2 linked regions of the Caenorhabditis elegans genome follow. Changing the gene in region 1 together with any one later gene gives a genetic interaction. Each region holds a gene or a part of one and is shown in the gene's direction. Other genes may lie near its edges. The genes, in order: lin-3 and cam-1.

What was found.
Region 2: of lin-3 (region 1) and cam-1, changing one suppresses a phenotype caused by changing the other (phenotypic suppression), as found in Caenorhabditis elegans (one study listed by BioGRID).

What each region holds. Positions count from the first base shown.
Region 1 is NC_003282.8:11,055,746-11,059,679, forward strand, and holds the start of lin-3 (Protein lin-3), read left to right. Parts: upstream 1-2,068; coding exon 2,069-2,123; intron 2,124-3,553; coding exon of another isoform or gene 3,554-3,596; intron 3,597-3,653; coding exon of another isoform or gene 3,654-3,659; coding exon 3,660-3,899; intron 3,900-3,934.
Region 2 is NC_003280.10:9,308,470-9,312,403, reverse strand, and holds the start of cam-1 (Tyrosine-protein kinase receptor cam-1), read left to right. Parts: upstream 1-2,099; 5' UTR 2,100-2,102; coding exon 2,103-2,179; intron 2,180-3,934.

The sequences.
Region 1 (3,934 bases):
CCCACGTATTTCACGAAGGTCGATCTTCTTTTTCACCTTACTTCCTCTCCCGACTATTTGTTTGTTCTTCCTTCTTTTTTCCGACCTTCTCAATTGCGCAGTGCTTCTCTTTTTCCCGCTACCATTTCCTCCTGTTTCTCCTATTGTTTCCAATTTCTGAGCCAATGTGCTCTTACTGTTTCTATTTGTCTCCTCGCTTCTCTACAAACTTGCTGACTGGCTGACTCATAAAGTCTTAGAATCTTCTGAAAACTGGAATAGGAAGAACCAGAAGTAGTGTCAAAGTTGAAAAGATCCGATTTCATGTGAAAAAGGAATACGCCGTATTTCTGATACACTTTAATGTTTCCTCCAGTTTTCCCAAATAGTCTCGTTTTCATTCCTGATAAATAGGCAAAATGCAAACAGTGATTGCTCATCGAGTTGTTTTTTTATATTGGAATTCCCTAGATTCTGAAAATTGTTGCTAACACAAGAACATTTATCTCTCGAAATTGAGGAATTGTTTGCAAAGTGGACATTGATTAACATATTTTATAATTTATCTCAACTCATCCGTATCCATACTTCCATCAGATCCATGTTCGACATTTTCTTGTTTGTTCAGTGTTACAGTAACCTGGAAGATTCCGAAAATATTATAGGAACAAACAAAATTCCCAATTTTAAAATATACGTGGAATCGTTCCCCACGGCCAATTAGCACCGCCCACGAATCATGGGTCTCGTTAGGTATTTAGCGGAAAACCCGTAAATTCAGAGTTTTTAAATTACTTTTACCGATTTTGTCAATTTTTAAAAATTTATTTTACTTTCTTTGTATTGATTTTCATTTGGAAATTAATGAAATAAAGTTCATAAACAAATTTTTTTAAAACTTATTCACTTTTCAACATTACACGAATTTTCAAAAAATTATTTCGGCTTATAAATAATCAAAAACAACATAAAAAATAACAAAAATTGGCAAAACTAATTGAAAACGCTTGAATTTACGGATTTTCCACCAAATACCTAGCGAGACCCATGGGTTGTGGGCGGAGCGTTTCAACGTCGATTCTAAAATGACTGTCTTTCTGAATCCCCATAATAATAGAAAAGATTAAATTTAAAATATGTTGTAGTTATTTTTTCACCATCAAAATAGATCACTGCGCATCTTCTCTATTTGCTCTCTTCTCGAACCGCCCATCGTTGACTGACTCATGCCACTGAAAAGTACCACCAAGAAGCCACTGATTTTCCCAGGGTCAAAGCTAACCTCTTTTCGATTTCTTTTCATAACTTTTTTGTTTCGCAATAATTACTCTTCCGATCAACAGTTAGCTTCCCACTTCTCCCGATCTTTCTCTAACAGTTAGCTGATCTACTACTAGACTGTACGATTTTCTCTGTTTTCTCTGATGTTTCTTTGTTATTTTTTGCTCTCAGCTAACATTCCTTGTATAAAACTGTGATATTAATATCAGTTAAGAAATACAGTTAGTGCGGTAGCCAGAAAGTTCATGTGAATCATCATGGCCATCAGAGTCTCTGAGTTTTATAAATTTATATATTTTTGGGATATTTTTTGAAAGAAAGAATTACGGTAGCCGGAATCAATTTTCTTGAATTCCAAAGAGCGTGCACCTTTAAGGAGTACTGTAGTTACCAACCCTGTATTGTTGGGATATTTTTATCAGATTTTTCACAATTTTTACCTGTTTCTTTCATTAAAACCATCAATTTTTTTTGAAGAAATTCAACAATAAGGAGTTGGTAACTACAGTACTCCTTAAAGGTACACGCTCTTTGGAATTCAAGAAAATCGGCCGGTTCGAGACCGGGTACCGTAAAAAAATTTCGCATTCTTTGCACAATATTTCCTTATGTTTCTCTTTAAAAATTTAAAAAATTCCCAATTTTTTTAAATTTTAATTTTCAGAATAACGGATCGTCGGCTTGTCGGTGTTCTTCCCACCCCTTATGCATCAATTTTTCCTGTTTCATAAGGTATTTCAATTAAATTTCTCAACAATTATCCAAAAAAAAAAATTATTTCAGATATCGTCGCCCACAAGTTTCCAAAATGCGGAAAATGCTACTTTTTTGCATCCTTCTACTCTTTATGCCTCAATTTACAGGTAATTTTTCATTTAAAAAAAATGATGTTCTACTTGGAATTGAACGTCACACCTCTTAAAACATATTGAACGGATCGAATGATATTTGACACTACAACCACATGTGTGTTCGTGTTCTACACATTTTTTGTCTAGTGCACTAAACATTGTCATATGGAATAAAAATCGCCACAAACGACTATGAGAAAAGATTGGTTCAGGAGCAGGGAATTTTTTTTCGAAAACGAAAATGAAAAATTTAGTTTGAAACGATATTTTGACCGAAATCGCACTATTTATGTTCACAATTTCCAGTGTGATTCTTTGGAAAGTTGTAAAATTTAAACATTTATAATTTTTCAGTATATCAGCATTTTTCGCTTAATTTTTTTTCCAAAAAATCGAAAAATAAATTTTCCACCAAATACACGAAAAATCTACAGCCCTGTTCAGGCATTTTCTCGATTTTTGCTCTAAAAATACGGTACTGGGTCTCGACACGAAAAGTTTTTATTAAATGCATGTGCGCCTTTAAAGAGTACTGTAATTTCAAACTCCCGTTTTTGCCGAATTTTTAAAACTGGTTTCCGATAAAAAATTGTCTGTTTATTCAAAAACAACTATAAAAGCACACCAATTTTAACAAATCGTAAGAAAAACTTTAAAAAATTGATTAAATTTCCGCAGCAACGAAATTTTGTAATTACAGTACTCTTCAAAGGCGCTCATCTATTTACATTAAATAAATATTGTCGTGTCGAGACCACGGACCGTATTTTTGGGGCGAAAATTGCAAAATTTTGCGTCTGGCGAATAGCCGTATTTTGTGATAATTTCCGTTTACCCGGTTGCAAATTGAAGAGGTCATACAGCAATGCACAGTAGGTGATCGTAAATATTCAAGTACCCGCCAACACCGCCAAAATGTTGTATGCACCCCCTCATAAACACCCTTGACAATACTACCATCGGTATTTATTTCACCTATATTGGCAGCAATCTACGAGTTTACCACCAACTATGTACATACCAGTTATTACATATTCGAATTTAAATGGTCCCTTGAATGGTTTGTCATTAATTATTGTAGATTTTTAAAGAAATCAGGCAATTTGATAAATTGACAAAAAAATGTAGATGTCGAGAACAATAATCACAATACAAATTCAAAAAAAGACTAACAACCAATCTACAGTAGTCTAGAAACAAAGAAATAAAATCGTACTTTTTTTATTCTTCAAGTTTCTTTCCGTGGATCCTTGAGCTTCTGTACTTTCAAAATTCTAGAACTTCCCGTCTCTCCCTATTCAATGCACCTGTGTATTTTATGCTGGTTTTTTCTTGTGACCCTGAAAACTGTACACACAGGTGTTCTTACCAATGTCTCAGGCATTTTTGGAAAAGTAATATTAAGAAAATTATACATATTTTCTTGAATACGAAAAATTTAAATGTTCGGTAAATCGATTCCTGAACGACTTCTAGTCGCATTTGGTATGTCTATAATATCAAAACAAAGATTATTATTTTCCATTCAAATATCAATAAAAGTTTCAGAATCGTGTCTCCCTTCGTGGTTTCGTCAAGAACGTAGTGCTCCCGAACAGCTTCAATCTGCAGAGAATGCAGCTGAAAATAGTGGCTCTGTACCACCCGATACTTCTCGAAATTCTCTAGAAACAAACGAAATAGGTGATGCACCGTCGTCGACTTCGACACCTGAAACACCTACTGAAACTACGATTTCCGAAGCTGGAGACGATGAAAAACGAACTGAAGAGGTTGCAAAAGAATTAAGTAATACTTAAATGTATAGAGAAAATCTCAGAAAT
Region 2 (3,934 bases), on another chromosome or scaffold:
CTTCATTTTCTCTAGAGTTTTGTTCCAAGTTGTTTTGCAAAATAGGAAATTAAAGTTTAAGAAAGTTCCAGCATAACGGTGAAGACAACTCAAAACCCGATCTGCCCGTATTTTGATTATTAGGACTTTCACATCTAATAGACTCCTATCAAAACTTTCTTTTGATAACTGTACCATACTATAAATTTTTAGATTGTATTGAAAATTTGACACACATAGATTTTTATTTAGCATAGAAGCTTCTGAGTGATTGAAATGCGACTAAACTTTAGTTTTTTGGGAATATTTTTAGTACTACAACATTTCCAGCATGCCTATTCAAAAACAATTCCCACCAACAGAATTCCGTACCAACTCAACTCAATTTCCAATTTTCTTCTCCTACGGCTACTTGTTGTCCATTTTGATTATAATCGTCTATTTCTCTCATAGCTCCTTGTGCTCAACGCCTAATCCTCTTCTCTGCTTCCAACAGCAGCATAAACAAATTTTCACACTCAAGGACCCGCTTCTTGAAATTTCTCTCTTCTACATTCGGTGAACACAATTCTGAAGCAGCACGAGCAGGAGCATGCACTTACTTTCAAATTCTATAATAATCATTTTGCGTTTCTCTTTTTATCCGATTTACGCTCTCAGGGATGAATGCTCCAGTGTATCTAGGATTTTGAGAAACATATACAAAATTAGCTCATGCTGAAGGTTTCGAAATATCTACTGCAGATCACACATGTTTTAGGAACATACATTTTGGCCAATTTGTTTATATCTACCGTATCATTTCTAATAAAATTATTGTAATCATTTACACGTTCTGAAAGTTTTTTAATCGACCTGAAAATATTTGTTCACATAGTCGAAAGGTTTGGAAACCTGCCCATGAATTTACGAACGTTCATTGGACTTTCTGGACATGTGACAATTTTTCAATAATTTAATTAGAAGATCCATGATCTCATATTTTGTGCAATATATAAATGTTTTCTCTGAAATTTAGCTGTTCTTCTTCGAATGGGACTCTCCCAGAATTCCCGTTTGAAATTCCATTCAGAACATCAACAGGAAGCATATCATTTGGTTTTCTCACGTTATTTCCGGAGTTTGTTTTGGACCTTGATTTTCAAGTATAAATTGGGATTTGGTTTCTAGTATTAAAATGACAAAGTGAAATATTAGAAAAAATATTTGGAAATAAAATCATGCAATTAAACATTTTAAGAACACCATTTTAAAAATTTTACAGTTGAGTTTTTTGATGGGTGAAACACCTAAATTTTTGACAAACTTTCGTCATAATTCCACTTTCTTACTTTTAAAATAAGTGACAATCTAGTGTATATCCAGCTGTGTCAGGAAACTCAATTATTTTCCAAATTGCTTTATAAGCCTTATTAGACAGGTGTGAAAACCCGTGTATTACTAAAATTGCATGAAAGAATGCTCATCTTTTCTTCTCTAAATCTCTTTTTCATTCAATTTTCTTCCATTTTTCATCACCAACTCTTTCTTCTAACTCATTGCTTCACAACTCTTCGTGCTCCTGCTCATTTCTCAGTCATCCATCACATTTATTTTACATGCAAAATGAGTGGAAAAGCGCATCAAAATGTGTACTACTAATATGAAAATGACTTTTTTCCCGTCTCTTTTTGTACTTCATCCTCAATTCATTTCGATTTGAGAAAAAAAGTTTCATTGGTGGTCCTGAAAGTTGTCATCTAATGAAAAAGACCTGCGTCTCTTCTGGAAATGAATTCAGAATTAGAAGAGAGAAAAGTTGTCGAATTCATGACTTAAGAAAACTGAAATTCTATACTTTTTCTTAAATTTCCTCTCAAATTCTCATGATAAATTCTGCGATTTCTGAAATCTCACCTGCCATTTCTCAACTTTTTTTTTAGCCGGCTTAAGCTTTATACTTCAATTCAACTTTTGCTTCACTGAACTTTATGAATTTCTGTTTTTTTAAAGTAATATTTGAATTACCTTTTTTTATGTTACTGGTGCTGAAATTCTCGATTCGAATAAATTTTTGAACTCTGTATATTACCATCTCGTTCCATTTTTTAATTTTTATACCCTAAATCTTGAATATTCCAGAAATGTCTCCCCGACCAGAAGACGACGATCTCGTGATAGAACCAGCCGACGATGAGGGTCTTCACTACGGAAATGCATCGTGAGTATTACTGTCTTTTGATACGATAATTATAGTAATTAGATACGGGTGGTAGAAACTGTAGCTGCCTATTTTGGCAACAAACGGTTCGGTTATTTACTATCAGATTAAATGAATATGGGTCAAATACAAGTAGTTTATTAGATTGCCTCAAAAACACAAAATGCTTAAATCTAGTGAGTCTATAGATGTACAGTTTGCTGACTACAAAAATTTTTAACGACCTCTAAAATGCGCGTCCACCTCTTGGCGTATAAAATATAAACTTTAAAAGCATTTAATCAGTTCATATAGATTTTCATATATGTTCATATAGATCAGTTCATATAGATTTTCAAAAAATGTATTTAAAATAAACCCAATTACTTCTTGATTTCTGAATAAAACCATATGGTTACCGCCATCCGTTCCCACATTCATCAAGCTCGCCCGATGAGTATTATGCAGTATGTGATCTTCACCGTTAGAATCTTGATTATAAAAATAATGTTCAATGGGAAATTTTTCTGCAATTCTCCCTCCACCCAACTTATTATCTTCATTCAAAATCTTGAAAACTTCCGTCGTGTCGACTTCCCATTTTTCATCTTTTTGACAAGTTTGCAACTTGCGATTAGTTTTAGCGCAATTTTTATTAGATTTTGAGTTAAATTAATTGCTAAAGGGGTCAACTTCGAAAGTGATTTATTTCAAATTTTTGTGAATTTTAAGTAGCTAATACTTTGTCAATATCAAAAATCAAATCGTTATGAAAATAATTTTTGGCTCGATTTTTGCCTAAGTTATTTTAACTTGTTAAAAAAATTGACAAACTTTATATAGTGCTTTTAGGCAAAACGTGGGCAGAAGCTGAAACTCGCTCAATTTTTTCCATTTTTCGAGCAATACTTGGATATGGTCTCAGTCAAGTGTTACAAATTTTTTCGCCAGTTTTGTATTTTTAAGAGAAAAGTTGTGTAATATTTTGGTGCCAAATGCCGATATCTCACATTTTTGATGAATTTTGGTAATTAGATATAACATCACGATCCAAAATTTTCCGTTAGCACCCATTCTTTTGGAAATTTCAATTATTATTTTTTCATCCATATTTTGTACCACTATAGAGCATCAAAATGTCATTCCGGATGCGGAAATTGGGTTAACTGACACAAGCTCATTTCCCTCAAACAAACGGAGTGACATGCCCATATAATGGATGACCATTCTCCCACCTCTTCTGTTCTACATATTGCATAATCCACTTGACACCTATATACATCCACCAACACCCGGACGTCTTCCTCCTCTTTCACCCATACAACGGACCACCCCCACCCTAACCGTGACCATCTCCTCTCTCTCTCTCTTTCCCTAATATCTGACAAAACGGACTGACCTCTGCCTTCTTTCCTACTGTCAGTCATCCCCTGTGTCTCTGCGTCTCATTGAATCAGTATACTATTTCTCGGGGATTCTGTCGAATGGGCCCTCCCCGCCAAACGCGCTCCGCACATTCATCCGACGGATGGACTACTCGATTTATAATTTATTGGCCTTGTAATGATGACACATCGTAAAAAAGAAGTTAATTTATCACTATTTATTAGTTTCTTTTTCTAATTAATTTATAACTTTCGAATCATTTTTGAACGGTTTTTAGTGATTAGAAAACAGTTTGATTCCAATATTAAGGTCTTATTACTAATCTATAATAGGCATTTTAATACTAGCTTGATTTAGTCTGCTTAATCCTAAATATCGTTCAGTCAATCC